4 linked regions of the Tamandua tetradactyla genome follow. The protein of the gene in region 2 interacts with the protein of the main gene of each other region in a pairwise test. Links are inferred from orthologs where the notes say so. Each region holds a gene or a part of one and is shown on either strand. Other genes may lie near its edges.

Evidence for each region.
Region 1: the proteins of AGTRAP (region 2) and BPIFA2 interact in binary tests that used the Homo sapiens proteins (3 or more experiments, as listed by UniProt). The two-hybrid records come from large-scale screens. The link is inferred for Tamandua tetradactyla from reciprocal best matches to the Homo sapiens genes AGTRAP and BPIFA2.
Region 3: the proteins of AGTRAP (region 2) and COQ8A interact in binary tests that used the Homo sapiens proteins (3 or more experiments, as listed by UniProt). The two-hybrid records come from large-scale screens. The link is inferred for Tamandua tetradactyla from reciprocal best matches to the Homo sapiens genes AGTRAP and COQ8A.
Region 4: the proteins of AGTRAP (region 2) and AP3M1 interact in binary tests that used the Homo sapiens proteins (3 or more experiments, as listed by UniProt). The two-hybrid records come from large-scale screens. The link is inferred for Tamandua tetradactyla from reciprocal best matches to the Homo sapiens genes AGTRAP and AP3M1.

What each region holds. Positions count from the first base shown.
Region 1 is NC_135327.1:19,916,615-19,924,971, forward strand, and holds the start of BPIFA2 (BPI fold-containing family A member 2), read right to left. Parts: upstream 3,052-8,357; 5' UTR 2,933-3,051; intron 1-2,932. UniProt on the Homo sapiens protein: Has strong antibacterial activity against P.aeruginosa.
Region 2 is NC_135328.1:213,743,129-213,750,593, forward strand, and holds the start of AGTRAP (type-1 angiotensin II receptor-associated protein), read right to left. Parts: upstream 3,304-7,465; 5' UTR 3,180-3,303; coding exon 3,153-3,179; intron 1-3,152. UniProt on the Homo sapiens protein: Appears to be a negative regulator of type-1 angiotensin II receptor-mediated signaling by regulating receptor internalization as well as mechanism of receptor desensitization such as phosphorylation.
Region 3 is NC_135333.1:19,603,885-19,611,296, forward strand, and holds the start of COQ8A (atypical kinase COQ8A, mitochondrial), read right to left. Parts: upstream 3,422-7,412; 5' UTR 3,230-3,421; intron 1-3,229. UniProt on the Homo sapiens protein: Atypical kinase involved in the biosynthesis of coenzyme Q, also named ubiquinone, an essential lipid-soluble electron transporter for aerobic cellular respiration.
Region 4 is NC_135339.1:22,542,337-22,549,923, reverse strand, and holds the start of AP3M1 (AP-3 complex subunit mu-1), read right to left. Parts: upstream 3,191-7,587; 5' UTR 3,060-3,190; intron 2,938-3,059; 5' UTR 2,805-2,937; exon of another isoform or gene 2,797-2,804; intron 1-2,796. Other genes in the region: ADK (adenosine kinase), read left to right, coding at 3,328-3,392. UniProt on the Homo sapiens protein: Part of the AP-3 complex, an adaptor-related complex which is not clathrin-associated. The complex is associated with the Golgi region as well as more peripheral structures.

The sequences.
Region 1 (8,357 bases), on a different chromosome or scaffold from region 2:
AAGAAAAGGAGTGGAAAAAAAGACACTCTCATAGGCTGTTGGAGAAAGGTAAGATAGGGGCTTGTTTGTCGACATCTGCCATAATTTAAAATGTGCAGAGCTTTTGAACTTTGGATATCCTACTTTAGGAATTCATCCCATGCATATATCGGCAAAAATTTACCCGTCTGCACTGTATAAAGGATATTCATTGCAGCATTGCTTGGTTCTAGAACGATAATAAGTGTATTAGCCAGGAATGGCAGAGCCACCTCTCAGCAAACCAGGGACAAAAGGCAGCCTGCTCACAGGTGCACAGGCATGCACGCTCACAGGTGCAAAGACAGGCACGCTCACAGGTGCAAAGGTATGCTCACTCACAGGTGCACAGGCATGCACACTCACAGGTGCAAAGGTATGCTCACTCACAGATGCAAAGGCATGCATACTCACAGGTGCAAGGCGACATCGGTGGAGACGGGGATCTTTAAGTTAATGCCTTTTCCATCAGAAGCCACTTCACTCTTGAATTTCAGGATGCTGGAGTTGCCAAGTTCCAACCTGTGCAAAACCCACAGTTCACGCTTGTCACCATTCCTTGTGACGGCCCTATGCTGAGCACATCAGTGTCATGTCTCCTTTGGCCTTTACAATAACTTTGTTCAGAGGCTTGATCGTGTCCATTTAACGGCACGGCATAGAGAGGCTCAGGTGAATGACATTTACCCCCCACATCGCAAGGAGAATAAGCGCCAGAGCCAGGATTTGACCCAGAACTGTCGACTCCAAACCTCCATGTGTGGGACCCACTCCATGGGGCTACCTGATGTGAAATTGCCCCTACAGGGATTTGGGATTTATCTCAAGCCTACTTCCAAGAAGGAAAAGTTTTATTTCTTGGAGAAAGACTTCGGACACCAGCAGACAAGTGGATGGGAAGGTGAGAGGAGACTCGACCCTGACCCTTAGATTGTGGAACCCACGAAATGCCCAGATTAGCTGTGCAGCCAGTTTCCTCCAGCTCTGACAGACCTGGCCTTAGGTCACCTGGGCTCTGTGTAAGAAGAGCCAAATTTAACCACCTTTCTGTCTTTGATCCCACACCTACCCTCACCCCCAAAGCGATGTATTCCCTCTCTTGTTTTTCTTGGAGCAAAGCCTCCACTACGGAGCACCATCTTACCCCAAAGACTTCTCTAGAGTTGAAACCATCTTAGAAATGTCACTTTCCACCATGTTCTCGACTTTCTCGATTTTCTCCTTGAGCGGTTTCCAAGTGGCAGGGTCCTGGATCACTTTCACGTCATCCTTTATTTTCTGAAGGACACCTGACAAAGGCAATCACTGTTGGGTGTCGTGCACCACTTAGGAAGCAGCTACTATGTGCCAGTTACTCAAGAAGACTATTGGTCAATGTTATTTCATTTAATCTTCGTAACAACCCAAGCAAGCAGGTATTGTTATTATCTGAGCATTATAGAGGAGGAACTAAAGGAAAAATAGTTTAGTAAATGTGCCCTAAGGTCACACCACTAGGGAGTTATTGTTCCTTCCATGCTGCTTCCCTACTAATAGGTTACTGATCATTCATCAATGAGGCAATCGATCAAGTATAGCAATTAATCTTGATTGTACACCAGTTTCAAGCAGTAATTTGGGGGTAGGGTAATCTATTGCCCTAAATGAGGTACACGAAGAAGTTTGAAAATGAGGCCCAACTGAGAAAGTAAGCAAAGAAATGGAAAAGTTCGAATCTAGGGAAAAAAATAGCTCTAACTTGTGAAAGTGAGGAAGGGGAGTACCAGGATGACAGCTTTGCAGCAGGCCTGGAGGACAATCATTCATACGGGGGAAGAAGGACAGAGTGTTTCTAATGGAAGAAAATGGGGTTGTGATGGAATAAATGCGGCAGAGGTAGGATGGTCCATGTGAAAAGAATTAAGGCTGTGTGTATGGTAAACAACAAAGGCAATTACTAATCCAAGGAAAAACAAAGACTATAAGGAAAGAAGTGTGATATAGAACTGCAGCCTGTGTCTGCAAAGGACAGTATCTGGCCAGTTAAAATGATACAAATAGGGAATAAGAATTTAAATGAAACTAGTTATATTACTAAATCGGGTTAATTACTCAACAGAGGACCTTGATCCATGCATTTCTGTCCCAGTTTCTCCTGCTGTGAAATTAGCAAGTGAGTCCCTTCTTCCTTTTGGAAGAGTGCCTAAGCCCCGATAAGGTTTGAAAGGCAGCTACATGCACAAGTTACCTCCTCCTGTAAAGAATGTTTGTTAGTGGCTATATTATATCCAAAGAATTGAGAGAAATCCAGGTTCTTTTAAAGATTTGTATGAAAAAGGAGACATGATTAAGTATAAAGCTAGCTAGGTAGGCTAGTTCCCTTAATTTCCAACGAGTTATCAAAAATCTACACAGAAAATCTAAAAATCCAACAGAGCAACATGCTATTAATATGAATAAAACATGCAAATGCCTAGTAAACATGCAAAGATAGAGGGGACTCATAGGATCAGAGAAATGCAAAGTCGAATGAGTTACACTCTTTCATTTATTAGACTGGAAAACATTTAAAGTTGTCCATTCCAATGCAAAGAAAAGGAGTGGAAAAAAAGACACTCTCATAGGCTGTTGAGGAAGGTAAGATAGGGCCTGTTTGTCAACATCTGCCATAATTTAAAATGTGCAGACCTTTTGAACTTTGGATATCCTACTTTAGGAATTCATCCCATGCATATATCGGCAAAAATTTACCCGTCTGCACTGTATAAAGGATATTCATTGCAGCATTACTTGGTTCTAGAACGATAATAAGTGCATTAGCCAGGAATGGCAGAGCCACCTCTCAGCAAACCAGGGACAAAAGGCAGCCCTTGGAGCTTCAGGTAGTGCAGGCAGAGTCTTGAGCGGCAAGGTCCTCTGTGCTCTGCAAACTCACCTTGGAGGATGTTGCTGACCGTTTCAAGTTCTTTGTCAACAACAGGTTCCACTTTGTCCACAGCATTCTTCACCGCACCCTGAAGAGACTTCAAGAGAGGTTCAAGTTCTTTGTCAACAACATTTCCACTTTGTCCACAACATTCTTCACGTCACCCTGAAGAGTCTTCAAGAGAGGTTCAAGTTCTTTGTCAACAACAGGTTCCACTTTGTCCACAACATTCTCACGTCACCCTGAAGAGTCTTCAAGAGAAGTTCAAGTTCTTTGTCAACAACAGGTTCCACTTTGTCCACAACATTCTTCACGTCACCCTGAAGAGTCTTCAAGAGAGGTTCAATTCTTTCTCAACAACAGGTTCCACTTTGTCCACAACATTCTTCACGTCACCCTGAAGAGTCTTCAAGAGAGGTTCAAGTTCTTTGTCAAGACAGGTTCCACTTGTCCACGACATTCTTCACTCACCCTGAAGAGTCTTCAAGAGAGGTTCAAGTTCTTTCAACAACAGTTCCACTTTGTCCACGACATTCTTCACGTCACCCGAAGAGTCTCAAGAGAGGTTCAAGTTCTTTGTCAAGAACAGGTTCCACTTTGTCCATGACATTCTTCACGTCACCCTGAAGAGTCTTCAAGAGAGGTTCAAGTTCTTTGTCAACAACATTCCACTTTGTCCACGACATTCTTCACGTCACCCTGAAGAGTCTTCAAGAGAGGTTTCAAGTTCTTTGTCAAGAACAGGTTCCACTTTGTCTTCTTCACGTCACACAAGATCATTCTTCATCAGTAACTGACACATCGATCAGTCTTCAAGACAGAAGCTGAGGTTTCCAGTGAGAAGATCGCACAAGAGACAAGTTTCCAAAGTTGAAACATCTTTTGGCCTGATACCTGGACAGTCAGGAAAGAACAGGATTGAGAATGCCCAGAGCGAAAGGAATATTCCATCAGCCGCCTGCCGTTCTGATACTAACATCCCTTTGAGATAGATATGGTTACCCATTTTCCAGATGGAGCCAGACTTGACGCCACGTCCATGATCTTTACACAAAACCATTTCACAAGCACTTCTCTATGCCGGAGACATCTTTCCTCTTCCTTGCCTTTTCATCTACTGATTCCTAATGGTTCCCCAGGCCTCTGCGGGATATCATGCCTTTCATGAAACTTGCTCTATGGTCCTCCCCAGCGTCTGTGTTAGGAGTCCCCCTCCCCCCTACCCAACCTGGCACCCTTCATTCTCTGAGAGAGTCCTGGATATTAGTGCCTGTATGACTTGTCTTCTTCTCCCACACAGCTATGAATTCCTTAGAGCAGGGGCCGTGGCTTGGACACCCGAGCCCCCAGTTGAAACCCTGCAGCTAGCAGGTATTCAACCACTGCTGTTGAATAAAGAATCAATAATAAATGGGCATCACTTTCATGACCCTGCATTGCTCACAAGTTTTGACAGTTCTGTTAATGAAATCTCTATATCTCTTAATTTGCTATAGTTTAAAATATTAGCTAACCGAAGAGGCCCATTCTCCTGCCTTTTACCCCCAAGACCTTCTGAAGGCCGCCATGTGAGGTGTTGGCAGGAGCAGCCAACCACTCACCGGTTCCGAGAGGATGCTCACGAGATCGTTCTCTGCACAAACTCTGGGACTCTGCTGGGTGAAGGTGGTTCTTATATGTTTAACGGGATGGGTGGCAGCCCATGGGAGCAAGGCCTGATTCCGGGGCTATCCAAACTGCCTCCAAAAAAAAATATCCCTGTCCAGGATGAGAAACTCCTACCAAAGGTCACCCAGGATGCTTGAGTTGGAATGAATGGAGTTTGGGAGGATTTTCTGCAGGACTGAGACAGGAAGGCCCTTTTCCAGCTCCCAAGGGTGGTCACTGCAGGTTGCTGCGAAGAGTGAGGATGGACTGTTGGGAATGTCTAGGTGGGAGCACCATAAGGGATCACTAGTCAGCTCTGTCAGTTGGAGGCAGACAGAGAGGAAGTCCCAGCCTGAGGTCACTTGGCAAGATGAAGACAGAGACAGGTCTAGAACTGTGGCCCAGGGAGCGTTAGGGTCACAACCAGAGCCCCATCCATCACATGTCTTCAGTTCAAAGATTTACAATGCCAAGGAGCTCGCCACCCCCAAGCCTGTCTGTTCCATCCAGCTGGTAGAAAATGCCTCCAGAGGGTGAACCAAAGTCTGCCTCCGTGCCGCCCACATGTGTGGGTTTCAGGGAGGCTCAGAGGAGTTAAGTGTCTTGGCTGACAATATCAGAAGACACAGTGCCGCCAGTTTTGTCCCTGGTCTCCCTTTGCCGCACATGTCCCCATCTGCTCCACTCAGCGAGGCAGCCACAGGGACTTCATTCAGGTAAAATCCAAAGTCATTCCATGGCTCACAAGAGACCCTACTGCCTCTCAAAATTCACCTCCTGCCTCTGTCGTCCTCGTTCCTACTGTTCTTTCTTCTGTTCCAGAAAGATGCCAACCTCTTTCCTGCTTGAGCACTTGCACTTGGCCATTGTCTCTGCCCGGAACTCTCCTCCCTGGCTGTCTCTATGGCTGTCTCCATCACCTCCTAAGAAAGCCCTCCCTAACTGCCCACCTTAGGTAGCCCCTCCGCTAGCTGAGTTTGAAACTCAGCTTCTTGCTTAGTTCTTTTACAGCATGATCACGACTTGAAATGACTGTATTTATTTGTTTTCTGCCCTAAGGAAGTTGTTATCACACTGTGCTCTGGGGCTCTCTTCTCACGTGGGTCCTCAAGATTCTGACCTGCCCTAGGATGCTCAGGGTTTCTCTCTGGGGCATCCTGTCAAACCAACCATGACCTGGGAAGGTGGTAAGGTCCTCCTCACCAGAAATGCTCAGAAACTGGACTAGATGAATGTGTCACTTGATGTGGCTGGGAGCCATGACCCCAACTTTCCATAGGTCCATTGTTCAAGGTCATTACTGTACATTTTTATTCTTGTCCTTGGGTTGTCTTCCTACCTGACTCCAGCCACCTCCCGCCTTCCTGTCTCTTTCCTTTTCTCATCCTCCCTTCCTCCCAAGACAGAGCCATGGCTTCTGCTGGATGTTTCCTTTCAGCATGGACCCTCCCAGGACAGAGCCACCTTTTCTCTCTGGCATCCATCACCCCTCACGGCCGAGCTCTGAAAAGACATTCAACTCGAAGCTCTTGTCCCCTTGGGGTGAGCCTGTCAGAGGGTGGCACAAAGGTGGTGGGTAAAGCAGGCAGAGGACCCTGTCCTCTCACATGCAGCCCAGAGGTTTTGGTTCATAAGGACCCATGAGTAACCCAGTCCTGCAACCTCTCTGGCCCCAGCTCACACAAGGGAGCACCTTCAAGGGCTCCCTTCCACTGAGACATTTGGGGGAGCCTCTGGTCTGATCCACTTCAGGTTAAATCTGCCAAAATGTTAGAAACCATACCCCACACCCCTTCTTCCTGAAGTCCTATGTTCCTATTCTGATAGTGTGGGTAGAAGAGTAGAACGAGCTTGCACATGCTTACACGTATGTGTGCGCACACACACACACACACACACACACACAAGAACAAGACAGCACAAACTAGACCCACATGAAGAAAATAAACACATTTCCCTGCCTGCCACAAGGAAACCTTTTTACAGAACTCCGGAGACCGTGTTAGCTTCCCACCATCCTGGATGGAATAGCTGTCCACCCTCAAAGGGGAACTGGGTCTCCACAGATGGCCTGGGCATGGGTGTTTTCCTTAGACACTTCCAGTGCAATTCTCTGGCAAAGCCCCTGGGAGAATGAATCCAATACTAAGGAAATGAGAGAATGCATCTTTTGAGTCCCTGGATCCAGCTGTGCCTGAAACCATCCATATACCCCTGGAATTTTCAGTTCAAATAAAGTTTCTCCCTCCTTCCCCCCCGCCCTTAGGCCAGTGTTAATTATATCCTGCCACTCAAACCCACAACAGTCCTGCTCAAACATTTGCACACTTCCCTCGGCCTCTTCCCTTCTGATGGCTGCTCATGGGTCATATAAACACACTTGAGACATTAGACCCTAAATCCAGGAGGAGCCTTAGAGCTCACCAGATCACCCTCCTTGCTGGGAAGCCTGGGCCCCAGTGAGGGAGAGGAATTCACCCAAAAAACCCACTTTGAACCTCACTTATTTTCTCCTTTTAATTGCACATCTCCTAGTTTGGTTGGAAGTCTTTACTCTGGACAACAGCATTTATTTAAAGGGAAAAAAAAGAATTACGCAAAATTACCAAGGAAACCTGTTTAAAATATAGATGCTTGAGCTCCACCCTGGAATTATTTAGGCCAGGGGCTTTGGGGTAGGGCCTAAGAGTGGCCACGTCCAGGCTACCTGGGGTGGTCGGCCAGGAACAGAAATTACTTTCCATCAGAGGCGCCTTCCACCTCGAGTTCTGTGAGCTGTGACCCCCACCCAAAATCTGGAGCCCCTGCTCTGCTTCGACATGGCCCTTGTAACCATACAGCTCATGTGCACAGCGCTTTACAGTGACGCCTCACAGCCCTGCAGTAACAGACCCGCAAGAGTGGACTGCTGATGCTAACAGCTGTCATTCATTTTACATCTGCTGTGTACCAGCGTTTTTCCTTTATCACCCTGTTTCATCCCTTCCGCAGGCTTGTGATGTGTGTGTGTGTGTGTGTGTGTGTGTGTGTCACTGGCCACATTTTTCAGATGAGGAGAGTGAACGTTGATGGGGAGGGTTGGGGGCAACTTGCTCAAAGTCACGCAGTCCAGGGGGCCGAGCTGGGGAGCGAACGTGAAGTCTGTGCCGGCACTAGAGATTGAAAGTGACTGTTCTGGCTGTGACCTCCTCCGGGCTGCAGGCGTCACACTCTTCCCCGACCCCAGAGCCCAACACGCAGGGGGTGCAGATCCTCACTGGGCCTGGCGCTGGGGACACCCTGATGCCGTCGGTCCCCACGACAACCCTGGAAAGCAGGTTCTGAGACCCCCATCTTCCAGTTAAGGAAACTGAGTTCCAGAGAAGGGAGGTGTCTTCCCTGGGGCCCCACAAGGACAAAAAGTGGCACTCAGGGGAGGCCAGCTGGCGAGGCAGGTGCCGAACCGTCAGGCTTGGACATCCTGTTGATTGTGACGCCTGGTGAATTGGGCTGTGTCCACCCTGAAGAGCGTGCTGGAAACCCAGGAGGCGCCCTCTTGGCATCTGGCTGGAAAGACGCGCGTGGGCCTCAGGAGTGTCCTGTGTTTCTCCCCGGCTGCTGAACTGCAAGCAAGGACCTGGCGGAGCTGTCCTCAAGGGAAAGTGACCAGGCCCAGGCGAGGGGTCCCTCACGCAGACCGGCCACCAGCAGGATGCAGAGCAGGTGGCAGCAGGGAGGAGGCCCCAGGGACGGCACACGCCGTGCGTCCCAGAGAATCCAGCCCACTGAAGGCCTGCTGTGGCCTTGC
Region 2 (7,465 bases):
TGCTATGTATCTACCCTGCACTGACGACTTGGCTAGGTCATCCTTACAACTGTAGACCTAACACTCTAACGCAGTAGAGTATTAATCCTGCTTTGCGTATGAAGAAACAGAGACTTTGAGAGATTACGCAAACTGGCCCAAATCATAAAGCTAATAAAAGAGCCCAGACTCAAACCTCAGGATAGGTCTACTTGGCCTGGGTTTTTAGGTTAGCTTTAATGTGACACTACCTCCTGGACCACCAGATCCTCCTCTTATAATAAATCTAGAAGGCAGGCTGTATTTTTAGCCTCTTTTGCAGCAAGGAAACCAAAGCTCAGAGAGGTTAAGAAATCTGCTCAAGGTCACAGAGCTAATAAGTAGCAAAGCCTGGCCTCAGTGCAGGTTTATCTGGCTCCAAGGCCTGTGCTCTATTCAACGTGCTCCACTGTTAGGAACTGGAGGAGCAAGGAAAGGGTCACATGAAGAAGGGCAGATGGAAATGAAGTGGGTTAGCCTGGAGAAGAGAACGTTAAGGAGAAACCAAAGGATCAAGTAGAGCAGGACTTAAACTCTTTGTCTGCTATGGGGGGGGGGGGGGGTGGATAGAGAGTGGGGTCCTAGATGAGCAGCAAACAGATCTAAGATCAACAGAAGGAACATATTTCTAACAGCCCTGTTCAAAGACTCAGCAACCTGTTAGGTGAGACAGCGAGACACCTGAAGATGGCTGAGGCTAGGAGCACTAGTCAGGTGTGCCACAGAGGGTCATGGAATGGTCATCTGCGTGGGCACTGGATTCAAATATGTGCATTTGAATCCTGGCTCCGTGACTTAGAAGCTGTGTGACCCAGACCCTTGGCCTCTCAGAGGCCACTTGTTCTTCTGTAAAGTAGGGGTAATAACACCTGTTTCCTAGGGTTGTTTTGTGGATCTAGGGGTACAAGGAGATTGAAGCACTCGACACAATACCTGCCAGGTGCTCAGCCCTGGTACCTGGTAGCCAGTGGTACTCTTAGGAGATCAGCTTCCAGACCATCAGGGGCTTCTTCCCTTAGACTTCATGAATCTGAGTCTAGTCCTTTCTAAGCTTCTCGTAGCGTCGTTCCTCCTGCTCAGGACTTGCTTCAAGACAGGGAAGGATGGGGCTCAGGGAGAGACTGCTCTGGGAGTAAAGGGCATGGGGTGGCTCCTTCTCACCTGGCACCACTGCCCACTATGGCGAGCAAAGAGCAGCATCTATCACTTAGCTGGGCACAAGGAGACACTCAAACAACATGAGCCAGCACTGCCCCAGCTTCTGACAGGCTCTGACTTCAGAACGTCCCACTTAGGTGCCTGGGAGCACAGCATCAACAGCTTTCCACCACTGGCTTGCCAGATTTAGCAAAGAAACACACAAAACATCAGTGCAATTTGAATTTCAAAAAACAGTATTTCACATGGGCCATGCCTATACTAAAAATTTATCCTTATTGATCAGAAATTTAAATTCAACTGGATGGCCTGTATTTTATCTGGCAACGCTAGCCCCTCAGGACCGCCCAACTCTTAATGTTTCTGACTGGTAGCTACTAGGAGCCTGGGAAAAGGGCCAGCCTTTTCATTCTGGACATCAGAAATCAGCACAGCTCACACCTGTTGCAGGACCTGAAGTACCAGGTACATAAAATTGCTTTAAAAAGGTTCAAATGGAATAAGCCCCAACCCCTGCTCTGATGGACAGAAATAGCCAGGGCAGAAAGTCAGCCTAACTAGCCTGACACCCAGGAAAAGACATGGCTTTGGAGTCTGACACTGTGGGTTCGAATCCAACATTTAATCTCTGTGTGCCCTTGGCAAGTTACTTATCCTCTCTTAACTACTTTGCTCATCTGTAAAAAGATGACAATGCCAGTTATGCTGGCACACCACAGACAGACCATAAATGACAGTTCTCCTGTCTTCTCCATTCCTGCAGCTCTGTCCCTGGCCTGGTTCTCTCTCATCACTTTTTCTATGCAAAGCTCTAATGGACAAAATTTTGAATACAGGCAGGCATATAACTTCTGCACTAACTCCACATCACAGGAACAAAGTGGGTACTGACCCCAAGAAATCTCCCAATTAAAGATTAAACCTAGCCCCCTTCCCTAGCCCCAGCCGATGACTGGAAGCCTCAAGGGAACTTGCAGAAGCAAGTATGATTAAGAAGGGAAATCTGCCCGGTGAAACCACAGCACAGGCCATGCCTAATCATCCAACATGGATTACGTGTCGTTCTGGAACATTCGTCCTTTGGGTTCCTTTAGTCTTTAGTCTGAGACAGGGGGTGCTAAATACGTATCGTCACTCGCGAGTTAAAGGAGAGCATGGATACGGTCTCAAAGGAGGCTGCGCCAAGACCTAAGACGGACAGGTTTGGCCCAAGGGGCACCCCTTCCAGTCCAAAGTTAACAGCCCCTGGGTCAGAAACGGCCAAGACGCGGGTCGGAGAGAAAAAGAAGAACCTCCGCTGACCAACGTGATCGAGCGGAGGACGCGGCACAGGAAGTGGGGACACCCCAGGAAGCGCCACCGCATTTTCCCAACTGCACTAACTGGGGCTTTCTGCTTTTAAGTAATTTTTATGGGCGGCCGTGTTTCTTAATTACGAAATAAGAAAGCTGGGAAGCCGCTGGTCTGGAAACATCTGCTTTCCATTGCCTGATTCAGTAAACAAAGGCGGAGCCAAGCAGCCCACCCCAAAGCCTTCACGTGAGAGGTCTCGCCCCTCTCGTCCCTCTCCCCGGCGGGGGGGAGGTGTCCTCCTCGTGGCCCCGCCCCCGGCTCCTGGCCCCGCCCCTGCCCCGCCCCCAGGCCATCCTCCGCCTCGAGGGAATGCGGGGCGCGCAGGCCTCAGCAGTCCCCACAGAGCGGGCTGACTCGGAAAGGGGCGACCTTTTTCCTCCCCACCGGCCTCCAGCTCCCCTTCTCGGTCTGCCCTGCTGACCTTTCCGTGGCCCCTTCCCCCTGCGAGGGTCTGTCTGGCCACCCCTGGCTCACCTGGGGTCGGAACTTGCCCGTTCTCCCCGCCTCTCTCCCAGACGCTCGTCCTCTCACGTCTGCGCTCCTCGGCCCCGGCAGACGCCCCAAACGCCCACGGACCCGCCCTCGCCCGCCGCCGCCACCCCGCCCGCCGCGCCCATCGCCACCTTCAGGTTCACGGCCGGCAGCTCCATCCCGCCCGCCGCCGAGGACACCTGCGCGGCCGCCGCCGGGAGCTGTCGGGCTCGGAACTCGAGAAACGAACTTGCCGGCCCCGCCCGGCCCGCGGTGGCGGCTCCAACCCCAACTCGGCGCCCGGGCCACGTGGGGCGGCGCGAGCGGGCCACGTGACTGAGGCCCGGTTGCCAGGAGACGGCGTCGGGCTTCGCGTGCCCATCTCCACGCCTCTGGCTCCGGCCTCCGCCCCGGGAAACTGACGAGTATGCAGCAGGTGGTGGCACCTGGGCTGATGGGACCACTTGCAGCCAGGAGGCCCGGGGGAACTTGCAGGTGTCTCATCCCCGAAGTCACCTCTCTGCCCCTTCAGCACATCAAGGTGGAGACTTTACAGTACCGACCTCGTAGGTTTTTTGCAAAGATAAATGAGTTAATAAGGTAAGGGCCGTATACAAGCTTTTGTTATCAGCACACAAGGGGCCCACTGCTGGAGCCCACTTAAGTCAACGAGCCTACCAAAAGTTTTAGAAAAATCTAACTGGAAACCCAGCAAGAAGAAGAAGAGTTGAGGAGAAAGAGATCCTATGAAACACTGTCTGCACCTCAAGCATGCAGAAAGCAAGTGAAGAAAGGAAGAGTCACCACTGCCAATAGACGGAAACAGCCCATCAGCTGACGAGTGAATAAACAAAGTGTGGTATATACTGATGGTGGAATACTATGTAACTGTAAGAAGGAATGAAGTTATGCTATATGCAATAATATGGATGAGCCTTGAGGACATTGTGTCGAGGGAAACAAAAGGACAAATACTGTATGGTCTCACAAATAGGAATTAACTATAACGAGCAAACTGTGAGAGTGATTTGAGAGCATAGGTTATCAGGAGATAGGAAGTGGGTAGAGACTGCTTAAGGATACAGAATGTTTAACGAAGTTGATTGTAAAGGTTCGGAAATGGATAGCACAATACTGTGTGAAGGTAGCACAGTATTGTGTGATTAACAAAGCTGAGTGTGATTATGGTTGAAAGAGGAAGGCTAGGGTCATCTGTGTCACCAAAAGGAAACCTAGAGGATGAAAACAGGCACTATAACTTAATGAAATTTAGAGTGGACGATGACAATGGTTAATTGTAAAAATATGAGAAAGGTTTATTTTTTATGAACTAGAACAAATGTGTCCTTATTACAAGGTGTTAATAATGGGGTGGTATATAAGAAAAAATACAATTACTGCAAACTGAAGTCTATAGTTGATACAACCATTGTAGTGTCCCACGTAGGGGGGAGGGCAGTGAATTCACCTGCCAAGTTGGCGTAGAGAGAGAGAGGCCACATGTGAGTGACAAAAGAGGTTCTCTGCAGGTGACTCAAGCATAATTTTAAGTAGGCTTAGCCTATCCTTTGCAGGAATAAGTTTCATAGGGGCGAACCCCAAGATCGAGGGCTAATCCTGTTGATTTGGTTGTCCCCACTGCTTGCGAGACTATCAGAAATTCCCCACATGGGGAAGTTAAGTATTTCCTCCTAGATAGTTATTCTGTGGCACTGTAAAATACATGCTCACAACAACCCTATGGTGTAGATTCTGTCCTTACCTTCTTTACAGTGACATTAAGAGACTTTTAAGTGGCTTGCCCGAAGTCACATCACTGAAACCGGCTTGAGAACCCAGGGGTCTGGTCCTAGAGCCAGCACGTTTAACCATCGAGCTACACTGGTTGCATCGCAGGGAAATACGCCCCTGGGCTGAGCTAGGAAAGGAGGGAAGACAGGCGCTGATGAGGCATAGGGCCAGGTCTGTGGGGACACTCTGCAGCTCGCACACTGAGGCTGCATTCATTCGGGCCAGCTGGGGCCAGAGGCATGGGGTGGGGGTGGCAGGGGGCAGGAGCAAGACCCAGCTGGCTGGGGGCAGTAGGAGAGAGTGGGCACAGAGACACAAAGGAAAATGGAGCTGTCCATTTTCAGAGGAGCCGGGGGCCCTGCCACAACCTCTTCCTGACCATGGAAGGACAAACAGACCCCCACAAAGCACATTCTGCAAGGCTTTGGGGGCATTTTTTAGTCAATATACTTTTGGAATTCAAGTCTATGTTTTCCACATCCCTCACTAATTCTGTCTGGCTCAGCTGAAAATAAAAAAGTACCTGTTTATCTTTGTACCCTCAAAGAATCTGACACCTAGAATAGGTTCATTCATTCTCTCTCTCCCTTTTTTTCCATTCATTTAGCAAATGGTGATTGTATATCTACTTGGGTAAATGCCCAGGGGTAGAATGGCTGGATCTTATGGCAGGTGTGCATTTAACTCTTTGAAAAACTACTAAACTGTTTTCCAAGGTGGTTGTGCTCCCCCAGTTTACTTTTCTTCATAGTACTCATCAATCTCTGGAGTTATTGCCCTATCAATGTATTTATGTATTGCCTGTCCTTCCAAACCAGACTCTAAAGCTCCAGGTGGACCCTCGATCTCAGCACTTAGCCCTGTGCCCAGCATACGGCAGCTGCTCAGGAAAACAAAGAAACCACAGTTGAACCACCAATTATCTTGCATGGCTTCCTGCTCGGTCCACACAGTTGGCTAAGCAAAAGGTGGCTGAAGCAGCTACAGCCTTTCCTTTCCTGTGTTTTTGTGTGTGTGTGTGTGTGTGTGTGTGTGTGTGTGTGTCCTTTAGATAAACTATTTGGGGGAGCTCTGTCTTGCCTGCTTCCAGCAGTAACCTGGGGCAAGTTGTCAAAGGCTGAGCCTCAGGTTAAGTTGGGGAGGTGTGCTGGTTTGAAAGGATGTATATACATTTTACCCTAGAAAAAACCATGTTTTAATCCTAATCCCATTTTGTAAAGGCAACCGTTTCTTCTAGTCCCTATTCAGTACTGTATGTTTGAAAATTTAATTAGATTATCTCTCTGGAGATGTGACTCAGTCAAGAGTGGTTGTTAAACTGGATTAGGTGGAGATGCGTCTCCACCCATTCTAGGTGGGTCTTGATTACTTTACTGGAATCCTGTAAAAGAGAGATTCAGAGAGAGCAGGGAAGGACAACAGAACACCACAGACCCACAAAGTAGAGAGTCCACCAGCCAGCAAATTTGGGAGATGAAGAGGGAAAACGCCTCCCGGGGAGCTGGAGAGGAAGCTAGCAGATAACGCCGTGTGTGCCATGTGCCTTTCCACTTGACAGAGAAACCCTGAACTTCATCAGCCTGCTTGAATCAAGGTATCTTTCTCTGGATGTCTTAGATTGGACATTTCTATAGACTTGCTTTAATTGGGATCTTTCTGTGGCCTAAAAAATGTTAACCTGCAATTTATTAAATTCCCCTTTTTAAAAGCCTTTGTTTCTGGTATATTGCATTCCAGCAGCTAGCAAACTAGAATAGGCAGGGTCACATATGATCATTTGCTTAGCCAACCTAGCTCGGCTCTCCGAGTGCTCAGCAAGCAGTGCTGACCAGCTGCTGTATGTACCCCGCAGTGGCTTTCTGCATCCCTCATGTATCACTGTCATAGGCAGGTATTGTGGGGGCGGGCCTGGGGGTAACTGCCTGTTGAATCGAAGGGTCAGGGAAAGGTGGGACTGAAAAGGGGAAGGAAGATGCCTGTATTAGTTTCCTGAAGCTGTCATGATGAATAACTAGAAACTGGGTGACTTATAACAACAGAAGTTTCTTCTCTTACAGTTCCAGAGACCAGAAGTTCGAAGTCAAGGTGTAGGGTGGGCAGGGCCGGGCTGCTTCCAGAGGCTTTAGGGGAGAATCCTTCCTGTCTTCCACCAGCCTCCCCCTCCCCAGCTTCTGGTAGCTGCTGGCATTCCTTGGCTTGTGGCTGCATCGTTCCTATCTCTGCCTCCACCATCGCACGCCCCTCTCTGTGTCTCAATTCTTCTTTCTTTCTTCTGTAAGGACGTTGCCATTGGATTTAGGGCCCCCTAAGCCCAGGATGACCTCATTTTGAGATCCCTGACTTAATTACATCTGCAAAGATCCTTTTTCCAGAGACAGTCATGTTCACAGGTTCCAGGAGTTAGAATGTGGACGTGCTGCGGTGGCCCCAGCAGTTCTGACGTGGGTCCCCACCCGCTTTGCATCCCAAGCAGGTACATCAAACTGAAGGACATGGAGCAGAGACAACAACCCAAATGCTGTTGGAGATGCACACACACCTGCGCGGAGGCACAGCCACTCGCCAACAGCATACTGGAGAAGGGCCCGGGAAGGCCCCTTGGTGGCTCCAGGATTGCGGCTGGAATTCTTTCTAGAAGACTTTTCTCCAGTGTTTCCTTTCAACCATCACAAAC
Region 3 (7,412 bases), on a different chromosome or scaffold from region 2:
GAAGTGGTCTGACCTAGAGTCCCTAGTCCAAGTCACACTGAGGACATTTAGGTGATATCTGCATACCCCTGAGTTCCCAGAGAGCAGGGACCTGGCCTTTATTCACTTTATCTTCCCACAGCGCCTGGCTCTAGGTAGGTAATCAGTATTTGCTCAAAGAGGAGTAAATAACCACATTCACCTATTCTGAGGTGGATTTTTCTTCAGAGGCAGGGCCTGCAGGGGCACCAGCAAGTTGAGCGTTCTTGAGATAAGTATCAGCCACTATCTACAGCAGATTCTAAGATACCCTTAGGTGGCAATTTGAGTGAAAAACACTGAGCTCCTTAGTGACCCTTTCTATACATGCACATGCTAAAATTACACCCAGGTATGAGGAATAAAGAGTTTTCCAGGGTCACCTCCAGTTTTAAACACTCTGTGGTCCTCTATTCTTAAACCAAAAGGTCAAGGGCTCAAGAACCTACAGCCCCACAATCAACATGCTTGCAGAGAGACCAATGGATACCACTCAGATTCAGGTTCACAGAGTGCTTGGACTAGCCACACATCTCAAGCAATGTGCTGGTTCTACCTCCGTATCCGGAGGCTCCACCTTCCCACCAGGTCCAACTCCAGAAGGCCCCCCTCCCTCCAGCTCCTTAACACTGGCTGTGCCAAGGTCTTACCCGTCATTGAGCAGGAATGCCGAACTATTTCCAGACACCACTGTCAAATCAAGACAACTCTCTACTCAAATATCCCTGTCTAATCCTGCACACAGCTCTCATTTCAACTGACAAAGAAAATGACTCAGCGTCCATGCTTTTGCTGGAAAATTATCCAGCCAAGTTTGGAGCTTCCCTATAATAGACTTCCCTAAACTTATCTTTGCGAAAGGAGAAGTGACTTCCCTGCCCTGATCTTTTCTGTATACAACAAAGCATAACCAGAAGACCCCCTACCTGATCAAGAAATAGTGACAGGAATATCCTGGCACATCCATAGGATCCATTAACAACAAGAAAGGGAAACTCAGTCAGGGGCTTGGGGTGTTTCTCCTTGCATAAGCCCTATACAATAATCGCCCCTTTTTCATCTTTTCTATATCCCCATCAGCATGAGACCTAGAAGTTTGGGGGATATATTCCAAGTTATATAGAAGGCACAATCTGGCCTCAAAAGCAAAGCATCTTTCTCTGCACAAGAAGAAATGGCACACTGTCTTTATGACATGGCTTCTTCAGTCAACCATAAAAGAGCTCCACAAATTATACCCGTGGCCATGCTACACCATGACATTTCTGAGTCTGCAGCCGCAGATGGTGCACACAAATACAACACACACGCACATATGAAATGCAGCCACTCACTCACTCCCTGAAGACATAGGTCAGACCCCCTCCCACACGACAAGCCACAAGAGGAATCTGAGCATAAAGTAAGGGTGAGTGAAGCATCAGCTTGGAAAGCCACTTATGGATAATGGATAACTGAGTTGGCTTTTCTACCAGTGTTTAAACCAATAAAGGCATCTGCTCACTACTTAAAACGTGTTTCATATATATAGCCCCAAAAGTTCTGAAAAGTCCTCAAGGGCAGAAACCACCATCTTCTACACTCCCAACACAGCTATCGCTGCCCTCATCCAGCAGGCACAGTAAATGCCCATGGTTTCTACCTCCTATCTCTATGCTGGCAGGTTTCACCTCTGCTACCCAGGTGCAGAGGGAGGATCTCCTTTAAAGCCCAATCTACACAACTTCTACTGCTGGCTTAGGGCAGGGGACACAACATTATCTTCTGCTAAAGCCTCTCCAACTACTCATGGACATATTCAAAAGATCCTTACATCGTGGTTCTCAGCTAAGTGTGACTTTGCCCTCTATGGGACATGTAGTGATGTCTGTAATTGTCATGACTAGGGGAGAAGGAATATTCTTAGCATCTGGTGGCAGGAGGCCTGGGATGCTGCTACACCCCCTACAATGGACAGGGAAGTCCCCCAAAACAAAGAGTTATCCCAGGCCAAAATATCAGTAGTTCCAAGGTTGAGAAACCTGTCATACAGGACTGGCTCTGAGGGAGGTAAACAGACCACCAGGTTCACTTTTTCTTTGAGTTGCCAGGGCTCAGGCCAACAGTTATAACAAGCACGCACTATCTGCATTATTTGCAATGCAGAACAAAACTCCCCCAAGCCATCATCTGAGTCTTAAAGATGTTGCCCCTCTGTGTCAGCAGCTCCTCTTTTGTCTCCTCCAAGAGAGACAGTTTCCCAACAGCCCTCCTACCAGAATGACCCACCCATCCACAACATGCCACCTGACAGGCTGGCAGCAATGCATGCTCAAGTCCTTTAGCAAGGAGGTAGGCCTAACATGCCCATCTCCGCCTTGCTCTGCCATGTAAACCAAATGAGCACAGAAAAGTTTTTCAATAGGCTGCAGGCTTGACCCAGGCTGGGAAGCTGCACTCAAGCCTCTCAACCTTTAGGACATTTATCCCTCTGAACCAAATGGAGAGTCTCAACATCCAGACCTGCCACTGCAGCGTTCCCCCGTCCCCAAAGCAGAAGGGGCCGTACCCTCTGCAGCGAATAGGGCCAAAGCCAGGGAAAGGCCCAGTTCTGGAGATTAAGCCCAAACCACTCACAAGATCCCCAGGGCTTGGAGAAGTCGAAGGAAGGACCAAAGCAGAAAAAAAACGGGAGAAATGACCAAGACAGACTCTCTTAACCAAGATCCCCCACGCTAACATCCAACAGCTGGCTTTGGCCCCAAGTGAATCAAAGTTTCAGGCACAAATCTGCATCCGAGACACAAAGCTACAAGTGCAAGGGAATCTGGGGTCCAGGAGTAAAAAGAAACAGTATCATGAGAAAGCCTAGCAAAAAAAGTTGTTTTGGCGACCAAGAGGCACGGGCATGGGAGAGCCGGCCACCGAAGTTGTCCTGCACGTTCCAAGGACCTAGGGTTCCTGCACGCGACCCTTGTACCCTCCCCGAGGCGGGGTCGGCCGGGCTGAGGTGGGCGCAGGTACGAGAGGCAGCCACAGAGCCCCACCCTGCATCCTGAGGCGAGCCCACCGCGCCCCGTCCCCGGAGCCCGCCGTAGTGGAAATTCGCGAAGGGGAAGTCGCGCTGTCACTGCAGGAGGAGGCAAGAGGGGCCAGGCAGCTGAAGCGCCCAGCTCCGGCCACAGCCGGACGGCTCCTCGGACATGCGGCGGGCCCTAGGCGGCAGCCTTACCTGGCTGCAGGATCCGGAGATCCCGCGTCCCTCTCGGGTTCGCCGCAGCGCGGGCAGCTAGCACGAGGGAGGGATCTGTTTACCACCTAGCCAGAGTCCGGACCACCCCTAGCAGGGCAGGCTCTGCCCAGCGGGCCGCTCCCATTGGCTGCGCCGCTGTGGCCGACCGAATGCTGCGCCACGCCAGGGAGCGTGCTCAGTCCGTGCACCCGGCCTGCAGCCAATCGGAACCAGGGGCGGAACTAGAGGAGCCAATGAGAGGCTGCCCTGGCATGCAGGTCCCCTCGGGCACCTTCCAGAGCCTTGTGCTGGGGTTGGAGAAAGCCAGGCCCGGCTGGGCGGGTCGATGGAGGGTTCGGTGCGCGTGCGCACGCGCGGCGGTCTGTGCCGGGTCCCCTTAGGCGCGTTATCCGTCAATCTACTCGCTGGTGCTGGCCCGGCTGGACCTGTGAACAGGTGGTGAAGGGAGGAGACGGGCCTGGGTGGATGTGGAGAGCGTCGCGGCTTTGAGGACGAGGCGAAGGCTGCTCGGTGCCCCGCCTTATGCAACGAGTTTGCATAAGAAACTTCGAGTTTCCTTAGAAAGCACTCGAGTTCCCACAGAAAGCAGAGCCCCGGCAGGGTCAGAGGTAAAGGACCCCAGTCGTTCGTCCTTGCCCTCCAGGAGTCTTGTGGGGCGTGGGGTTCGGTGACCGAGCAGTGACTTCCTCGGAGGCGGCCCCTGCGGCGCCGGAGCGGCGCTGTGAGGCGCGGACCATCGCGGAGATCACCTGACGGTTCCTCTCCGAGGGTTTCCAAGTGCGAGTCTGCAGCTCTGCCCACCGTGGTTAATAGTTCTGGTGGAAAAGAGAAGAATAAGAACAATGTAGTGAATTTCTCATAAAAATGAACATTCAAGCTAAAGGATCTTTCTCTGTTCAGAGATATTTTTGGTGTTAGCATTTCTTTAACTTTCTTTGAAAGAGTGGCTCGTTCATTTTAATACAATTACTGGGAAAGTCATTTACATTGGCGCAGACATTGGATGGGGGCATCTGCCCCTTCAGCTCGCGCTGACCACCTGCCCTGGGTTCCCCGCTCCTCACCGCAGAGTGTCCGGCCGTGCCCCGTGAAGGACAGAACTCAGCGTGGGATGTGGGTGACCACAGCTCCATGTCGAGGCTCCGTGGGCTGCCCCCGGAGGACAGCGGGGCGCTCGGCTGCTCTGCCTGGGTGTCCGCCTACGGCCGGGGCCTCTCTGCAAAGACCGCTCCGCTGCCACCACTACCCACAGCCCAAATCCTAACTCCGCCTCCCCCATCCTCCCTGCACTAAATAATTCACTAAAAAAAAAAAAAAAAGTAAATTATGAGGAAAAATTAAGTTAAAATGTTGACGTTTCAAGTAATTTCCCCCAAACAGTACAGGGCTAAAAACTAGGGAGAGACCAGCTGGCTCCCTTTTCCCACACCGCAGGGGAGCACCAAGCCTCAAGGGTTGGGCCTTCCAAGCGTGTCCGTTGCGCCCTCTGGGACCACCGGTTCCCCCTCTGTTGCCTGCGTTCCTGCAGGTCCTCCAGCCTAGTGCCTCCCACCTGTCCGTGGCATAATGGAGTCTCCAGTCCATCCCTCCCTGTATCTCAGACTTCAGCGGGGTGAGGGTGAGGGTGAGGGTGAGGTTTTCGCGGGCTCCCGTTTCTGCTGATGGAAGTGGGGAGAGGCTATGGCACTCGAATTCCATGGGCAGCGAATCGGCTGCTTCCATGCGAGCTCAGCCCTGCTCTACCAGCAATGCCAGGGCATTCTCTCCTGAAGCACCTGAAGACAAACACAACCCACCACCACACACTAGATTTTCTTCCAGAACAGCAGTCTGCTCCTTTTACCCAAGGTATGGACAGATGAGAAAAAAAAAAAGGATAAAAAAATTAATAATTGGGGGAACAAAGGGTAAAATAAGTCAAGTAGATGGAAATACTAGTGGTCAATGAGAGGGAGGGGTAAGATGTGTTATATGTATGAGTTCTTTCTTTTTTTCTGGGGTGATGCAAATGTTCTAAAAAATGATCATGGTGATGAAGACACAACTATGTGATGATATAGTGAGTCAGTGATTCTATACTATGTATGGAATGTGTGTGTGAAGATTTCTCAATTAAAAAAAAAAAAGAATCAGCAGTCTAGTTTAAAGAGAAATGCACCCCACCTAGTCAATGCAAAGAAAGCATCTTCATCAGGTTAATATGATTTTGAACTTACTCCTTCTGAAAAATGACCTCAGCTTTATTGTACTAAAAATACATTTCTCTCTTTCCTGACCTGGTTTTTATTGCAAAGATTCCCCCATTACTACAAATTAAAGATTCCTACAAATTATATTTTGGGTGTGATAATGGCTTTGGAGCTATGTTTTTTTTGAGAGTCCTTATGTTTTAGAGATACATACTGAATTATTTCCAGGTGTATGGGATTTGCTTTCAAATATTACAGGGCTGGGGGAGAATGAATGGGCCATGAGTTGATAATTGTGGAAGAGAATGATGGGTATATTGGGATTCATTCTCTTATTCTGTTTCTTTATATATGTTAACAATTCTCCATAATAAAAATAAAAATAAAACATACCTGCCAAACAAAAAAATTCCCAATGGAAGACAATGCTAGTAATACAGGCAGGGTAAATAATAAATAACAGTCATTTCTACTCTTCTTGGTATGAAAATTTTGTCAGCCTCACTACAAGGTAAGAGCAAGATTGGATCTAGCTAAAGCTGACAAGAAAACAGCCAGAAAATTCAAAGTGATCAAGAAGACATTTGAAATACGGATTTCATTTACTATGTACCTCACTCCGAATATCTATTTGCCTTGAGATTTTAATGTTCCTATAATGCCATCATAATTTTAAAAAATTTTAGAATTTAAATTTCTAAAAATTTGCATTTGTGTATCTTTACTAATGGGCATAATATTTTAATATAGTATTATACTTTATACACACATTCACACAGAAATGGTATGCATGTGTGTAGACGCATACATACATACACAGTCCCCCAATAACCAGAGACACCTGTGCTTGGCACAGTTAGATAAGAAGCATGATACTCCAGTAATTCCCTTCTGTCTCTTCATTAATAGCACAGACAGAGGAGGCACTTACCAATTTTTACTCCGCTACGGAATCATTCCCATCAGCCTACCGAATTATTATAATATCTCTCAACCTTCACCCCCATCCCCATTTCTCTGCTCCCCTTTCCAGCAAAACGCTGGAAAATTATATTTTATGTATGTTATTTTTCAAGTCTATCTCATGGCTGGAGAGCAGGAGAAAAGATTATAGCAAGTTAAAACACAAACTCAACATTCTTACTGAGATTCAGCCATTTTTCTTCGATAACTGCTCCCCAATTGCTGCAAATCTTTGATTAGTTTCTAGAGTTCCATTTCTGCCAATTTTTTCATTGCTTTTGTGGATGAAAAGAATTAAGCAGTCCTTACTCTGCCATTTTTGCTGGCATCCTCTTATTCTGTCCCTCTAAAAACAGGTTTTTTTTTACTCAGCATCTCTGGAACATTATCCTTTCCTGATTCTCTTTCTAAGAATAAGCCATTTCTTCTCCATTTCATTTGCTGGGTCCTCATCATTTTCCTTATCTCTAAATGTTGGAGGACCTCAGGACCTACTCATTGTACCTCTTCTCTGTCTGCACTCACTCCCTTAGTGAGCTCATCCACCTTCTAGAAGCTGATAACTCCCAAATTTCTACTTCCGGCACTAACCTCTCCTAAGAATTCCAGATTCACATATCCAGCTGCCCATTAGCGTCTCCACTAGGATTCCCAACACGTGTCTCAAAGAGAAAACTGTCCAAAACTGACCCCTTGATTGCCCACCCAAACCCTCATTCCTACTCCAGAGCTCCCTGTCTTCAATAAGTGGCTTCTTCCATTGCTCAGTCCTGAAACCTAGAGACCTCCTTGACTCCTTTGTTTCTCTCATAACTCACCTGAGAGCCATGAGCATATCCTTCTACTTTATTTACAGACTACCTGAATCGACCCAGTTTTACCTCCATGATCGCCGTCAGCCTATCTCAAGTCAACCTCATCTTTCACCAGAATTATCTCAGTAGTCAGCTAACTGGTCTGCCACTTCCACCCATCTTTCAGGAAGCCCTTTTTGTTTGTTTTAAAACAAA
Region 4 (7,587 bases), on a different chromosome or scaffold from region 2:
AGTAGTTTTTTGTTTTGTTTTAAATATTTTTATTGACAAATCTTCACACATACATTCCATATATGATGTACAATCAGTGGCTCACAAATATTATCACATAGCTGTGTATTCATCACCATGATAATTTTTTAGGACATTTGCATCATTACAGAAAAAGAAACAAAAAGAAAAAGAAAAAACTCATACATACCATACCCCTCATCCCTCCCTCCCACTGATTACCAACATTTCTATCTATGCAATCTACTCTACCCCTTATCCCTATTATCTATTTATTTTTTATCCATATTTTACTCATCTGTCCTCACCCTGGAAAAAAGGAGCATCAGACACAAAGCTTTTACAATCACACAGTTACACTGTAAAAGTTATATCTTTATACAATCGTCTCCAAGAATTGAGGCTTCTGGAACACAGCATACCAGCCTCAGGTACTTCCCCCCAGTCACTCTAACACACCACAAACCAAAAAGGAATATCTATATAATGCCCAAGAACAACCTCCAGCATAACCTTTCAACTCGGTCTGAAATCTCTCTCAACAAGTAGTTTTGAATACATTTTATATATTAGGTGTTAAGAACTACAAAGATGGACATTGAGAGGTCAGCCAAGTTGACAACCAACTAGAGTGTGTTAGTGTGTTTCCAGAAGAACCGTGTTGTAAACAAAAAGTAGCACAGAGAAGTCAAGCTATAAGAAGAACTGAAACTGTCTATTCATTTAAGTTTTTCTTAACCTTATTTTCATTATCATCCTTCTGATGGGCCTTTTAGACTCTTCCTCCCATAATTGCAAACCATCTCCCATAATTGCAAACCACCTCCCAAGATATATATATATAGTGTTATATAAAATAACACAAATGTATTATCTTACAGTATAGGTCTCACTGGGTTATAATCAAGTTATCCATGAAATTTTAATACCACAGAATATGGTATGTTTGTTTATGTACTATATGTAAACTGTGCTTTAAATATAAGAAAAGTAAGATTTTTTTTCATCCTGTAAGAAGCAATTTTTGTCCTCACTGAGAGATTTAACACATAAAGGACATTGGTGATCTTGGTAAAAGCAGTTTCAGTGGTAGTTTGGTAGAATACTGGAAACAAAAGACAGATTGCAGTGGGCTGAGTAATAAATAGCAAGAAGTGGGAAAAATAGAGATAAAGGGAGAGCAGATGACATATTCAAGAAGTCAAGCTGTGAAGGGGATGAAAAGAGAGGAAAATAAGTGGGAATAGTTCATAAATTGAGGAAGAATATTTTTAAATGCTGAAGAGAAGGTGTGAGAAGGCTTGTGATGTAGGAGAGAGGAAATAAGTGAAAGAAAGAGGACCCCAAGAAGGAGAAAATGGTATTGGGTAACTAGGTGAAAGGATTTGTTTTCCCTAAGGAGAAGGGCCATGTTTCTCAGTAGTACATTATGTTGAATGTTTAGAAACATGTAAAAATCATAGAACTCAGTGAGAAAAACTAACCTTGTTGTAAAGAGAACTTTCCTATTAAAGATAAACAAGTGTATATATATAAAGATATACAAGTTTCAGTTAATTTCTCATTCACTTTGTATGCTTCACTTTTCCTACAGTTTCAGTTTCAAGTGTCCTATCTTTCTAAATTAATTTTGTACTTGTAAATTTGGTTCCAGTACCCTCATTCAATTCTGGGATCATACCTCTCTTTCTTAAACCTTTAATTTTATACATTAATTACTAGCTTACTGCTTGGAAACATAATGCTTTGTAATCTTTTTTAAAAAAACAACAACAAAAAACCCAAAACAAAACATCCAAATATTTTCCCCATGTTACCACTCTCGTTTATCTTTTGCTTCCTGCCCCAAATGATAAAGGGTTAGTTAACACTTGCAGCATCTCTCTCAATCAATGACTTCCTAATCATTAAATCCAATGATCTCTTCTCAGACTTCCTCTATTGACCTATGCCGCATTTCAAGTCACTGGCAAAATTCCCCCATACAAAACAAATACCTCTTACGCTATTTTATGAAACTTCACCTGTTTTGGCTCTCACCTTGAAAGTTTTTTTTCGGTTTAATTCCCAGGCTTCTTTTATTATTATTTTTAAAAATTATTCTACCATCTCCACCTAAGCTACTGCTTCAAACTCGATATATTCTAAACTAAACACAGCATCCGATCTCCACAAAATTCCTTCTTCTTCAAGTGAGAACTCTCAACTTTAGAGTTAGCATCTTCTCCTTGGTCATCTAGGCCAGAAACTTCAGCTTCAAATTCAACCCAAATCCAACCAGTGACATCTCTCATAATTTTTCTGTATTCCCTCCCACCTCATCGGTTTAGCTCTCTGTCACCTCTTCTGAAGAACTGCCACATCCTTCTTACAGTATTGTATTCCCTATCCCAGACTCATCCCGGCACCACCCTCTAACAGGACGTCCGCTCAACTTCGTCAGGGGTTTCGTTCTACAAAACGGAAGCCCGGACCTGAGGTGCGAGCTGTTGTTGCTTCAAGCTCAATACTGGTGACAAGACCTTTTCTCCCGCTCCAGGGCGTGAAGACAGACTAGCTTGAACCCGCAGTTCCGAGGTTCTGAGACCACTGGGCCGCAGGTACATCGCTCCCTTCCGGCCCTGCTGGCTACAAAGCCCGGGAGGCCAGGAAGGAGCGCGGCCCCTCCCCACAGCACCGGAGACGCTCCCGCCGCCCAAGGTGAAGTCCGGAGCCCCAGCTATTCAGCCTGTTCCCCATTTTCCGAGCTGTCCGCAGGCTGCAGATTGCCCCCACCGTCCCCACCCTCACACTCACCCCGGTACCTGGGCCAGTCAGTGATTCGGTGCCGGGTCCTCTCCCGACCTAGGCTGAGACAGCTGAGAAGGCCGTGAGGACCCCGTAGTTGGAGTGCTCAGGAGATTGCCTGATTAACAGCTTCATAGACACTGACTCGGTCTGCAGTAGTGGAAAGATTAAAAAAAGCCAGAAGACGTTAAACGAGATGAAAGACGTTCCTTAAGGTTGAGGATCTAAATCTTCTAGATTACCCAGCCTCTAGAAGAATAAGGGTTTCGCACCTTCCAGCGCAGGCGCTCATCCGCGGCCTAACTCATTCTCGGGTCCCCCGCAGGCGGGGCGGGGCCAAAAAGGGGCGGGGTATTGGTTGTGGGGACCACGGATAAAACCATTGGTTGTGGACGGGAGAGGCCCAGACTGGGCGAGGCCCTGAAGAGGCGGGGAGAGGGGCGTGCTTTGCAGAAAAGGAGGCAGTGATGTGACAGGGGCGGGGCCAGAGCGCCGAGGCGGGTGGAGCGCAGCCAAGCCAAGTGGGGTGGGAAGGCGAAGATGGCAGCGACCGAGGAGGAGCCAAAGCCCAAAAAGCTGAAGGTGGAGGCGCCGCGAGCGCTGAGGTGAGCGCTCCCCGACGTGGGGAGGAGGGTGGCGACGGCTGCCGCAAGCCAGGGCCCACGTGGGGTTGCGCGGGCCGGGCGCTGCGTGTTTTCCTGCTGCCCGTGTGGGGTCAGCGCGCGGGACCGGCGCCCAGGAGCTGCCCGCGTAGTCGCGACCTCTTTACCCGCCCAATTTGTCTGGCCCATTCGCTGTCCGCTCCCGAGCGGTTCGGACTCACGGCCTCCTTGGCCAATCAGAGTGTCCGTTCTGTGGGCAGAGGCGGTGGCAGGCAAGCTGCGGGCGCCACGTGCTAGCCTGCTTCAGCTGGGCCGGTGCGACCCATGAGAACCTGACCAGAATCCAAGCCGGCTACCTCCTCTTCCGCGAGGACTAGCCGGGGAGGAGGCCCTAAGCTTGCTGTACCCTGGGGCAGTGACAACCACTTGCGAATTCTTGGGGATTTTTAGGAAAGTGTCGCGGAAGGGCGCCTTGACCTTGCTCCTCGCACAGACTCTAACAGCCGGCAACTTTGAAGATCCTCTGCCAGGGACCCACAACGCCACCGCCGGGGCATTGCGGGGCTGACATTTGGCTGAGTGGATAGGAAAGGTTGATTATTCTTTTTTCTTTGCACTTTTTTAGCAGCAGTGGACACAGTTCTGTCTCTGATAGCTGCCTCGCATGGATTGGCATTGCAACTTTTACTTAAAAAAAGTTATTGAAAATACTTGAACTCTGAAGTAAACCACGCACTGTCTTAGTAATACAGTTATTAAAATATTGTTTCTTCAGTTGCAACAAATGCACCACACTAATGCAAGGTGTTAATAATGGAATAGCATGTGGAACTGTATTTTATGCATGATTTTCTGTAAACGTACACCTTCTCTAATAAAAAAATACAATGGTAAAAAAATTCCCCTTCTTAATAAGTATAAAAAGCTACATCAAAATTATTTGGTGATTTTGAACAGCATGTGGAAAGTCAGTGATTTTTCTATCTAAAACCAGACAAACTAAACCTGTTGGGGCCCTCCTGAAATAAGTCGTATCCTATTTATTTTAACACCAGTGTTCTTCAGCTCTAAATAATGAACACTTAAAATTGAAGAAAAGGTCACTTAGGGGCCTGGTAGTGTGGCCATGGTAACATGTGGCAAAATATCAAATCCCTGCCAATGCTTTTAATGTATTCCTACTACCCTCAAAGGTTGAGTGTGCCTATCTTATGCCTAGAAAATAAACTTTTTTTTTTTAACTTCTCAGGATGTTCTAGTTTTCATCTAAAGCTTTCATGCTCTGTAAGGTAAAGCAAAGGCCCTCTGACTTACCTAAGTTGCATGCATATACTTTTCTGACTGTCCTTTTTTAGTGTTTCCTTCACAAAACTTTCCTCACCAAATTGGAAGACAGATACTAGGTTTTTTCTGCTATTTCATCAAACATATAAACCTTAGATTTCCCCTTAGTAAAATAATACTTTATATGTAATGGTCATCCATTTTCAAAGTGCTTTTCTACTTATTATCTCACTGTACAGCCCTGTGAGTTAACGAGGACAAGAATTCTCGCATTTTACAGCTGAGAAAATTGAAGCCCAAATGAAACAACTGGTTAAACGACTGAAATCAGAACATTTGGGTGCAGGTTCATTGATACTTTACTCTATTGTATTTGCCTTTATACCACCCAAGGTATGCTTATTTTTGTTTATAAATCCTTAAAAATAATGAGGATCAATAATATTTAATATTTAAATATGCATGCCCAGGCACTGCTTCAGCAATATACCTATTGTAATTCATTCGCTCCCCACAACAATCCTGTAAGGTGGCTATTATAATTGTCTCCATTTTATGGATGAGAAAACAGACATAGAGAGATTAAGTAATTTGATCAAGGTCACTTATCTAGAAGGTGGTGGGGTTGGGATTTGAATCCAGGTATTCTGGTTCCAAGTCTGTTCTTAATTATTATACTCTACATATTAACTTCAATTTACCAAAAAAAAAACCCTAGTGAACTGTTAATACAATTTTTGTTTTTCAACTTTCTCTTGTTTTTTGTTTGTATACATAACTTTTTATTTTGTTGCAATATATTTGCTTGTGATACATCATAATTATAGTTACATATGATGCAGTTTGTATGTCATTAGTGTCTATTTAAATTTGTAAACATCCTTAGGCAACTAAAATTGGTTTTATACAGTATCATCTTCGCACCTGTAGACATGAGCTTAAATACTTGATGCAAATAAAAGATTGGACACTGTTGAATATTGGGACAAATCTCTTAATTTTGTGCAAAGATACAAAAATTGACAGTTCCTGCTTTCATTGAATTTTATGAGTTTGCCAGAGAATGATAATGCATTGAGTGGTTGGACTGTATCACCTGAGATGACATGCTTAACCGAAATAACTTCCAGTTCAGGTTAACTCTTTAAAGAGAAATGGCTTATAAAGTCTAAGCATAATTTACTGGGTAGAATCAGTTAGTAGGGGAAACAAGTTTATGATAGATTTCTTTAGATGTCGGGGAAAGGATTTAGGCCCTATGGAAATTTCAGTTAGTGCTAGGGCAGTGGTTCTCACTCAGGGAAGATTTTGCCCCAGGGGGACATTTGGTAAAGTCTGGAGACATTTTTGGTTGTCACAACTGGGGTGGGGTGGAAGTGCTACTTACACTTATGGGTAGGATTCAGTGATGCTGCTGAACATTCCATGGTGCATAGGACAGCTATCCGTAACAAAATCATTGGCCAAAAAATGTTAGTAGTGTTGAGGTTGAGTAACTTTGCTGTAGGGAAGGCATCCCTCTTGGCTAGCCTCTCTTAAATGTCCATTATTTTTCTAGGCTGGGTTAACTTTCAGAGTATAGCGGTCGTTAAAGTTGGAAAGAAAGAAGCAGGCTCTAACATGCTTTCAGTTGGGATTGGGGTAAAGAAGGGTACATTAATTGAATACCTATAGTATGCCAGGCATTATACTCATCTTTTTTTTTTTATGACTAAAATGCATTTAATCTCCTGGAGTACAATTTCACGTTTGCCATGTGGGGACTGCCTTCTATACTAATCTTTACATATGCTGTCTTACTTGATGCTCCCAGTGCCTATGAGGTGGGAGGAATTATCTCTGTGTTACAGATGAAGTATTTGGAACTTAAAGAAGTTGAGAGCCATTGTTGGGAACTGCTCCCTGAATGAAGAGGTTCCGTGATGATTACCTATATTTAGGACCACTTAGTTTGCTTTCTCTCCTTTGAAAATCTCATCCAAGTTCATTTCTTTAGCAGTCACCTCTAAGAGGATCAGCTCCCTGCAGCACTTGTTGAACAACTGCCAAATCTGCCCTTTCAGTCATTACTTCAAGTGCCTACTATTTTAGGCATGGTGCTAGGAACTGGGTACATATATAGAAAGACATGAGACACAGGTACTATCCTCTTGGTTTGAAATGAGTGGGGTTTGGGAAAATGATACCCGAGCATCCTGAAGGATGACTAGGATTTAGCCAGGTGTAAAGTAGGGGAAAAGTGCTTGGTTTTATAGGAAAGTTTGGAGCCAGAAATGGGAAGGTTGACTCTGTTGGGAAACTACAGATGGTTTGGTCTGACGGAAGCAGAGGGCCTAAGGGGCCCAGGCTTTGTACTGGATACTTTCGTATATGTAATCTTTCCTTCTGTTTATCTCTAAGCTCTTAGACCCTAATTTCAAATGCCTACTGAATATCTCCTTCTGATACTTAGAATCAGATAATATACCTAAATTCATCTTTTGCCCTAAGCCTGCATCTTCTCCTATGACTCCTGTATCTATTAATGGTACCACTAACCTCCCTTTCTCAAAAGTTTGAAACCTAGATTTTTGACTCACTTACCATCTGCATATAGTTATCGAAGTTGGTCTTTTCTTTCTCAGTAATGTTTCATAAATGTCTTTCCTTTTCCATTCCTGCCACCACAACATAAGTGTAGATTACCTTTTGCTTAGATTTTTTTATTGGCTTCCTAGCTTGAGACATGAGTCTCAAGTTCTGCTTAATCTTCTTCAGGCTTATCTCTACTTGTTCATCATAGCATATATGTATGTATTATATATATGCTATTATTGACCCATAGTATTGGTTTGGGCGTTTGTTACCAAATGTACCACAGTATTGGTTTGGTACATTTGGTACATTTGTTACTGTTGATGAAAGAGAAAATATT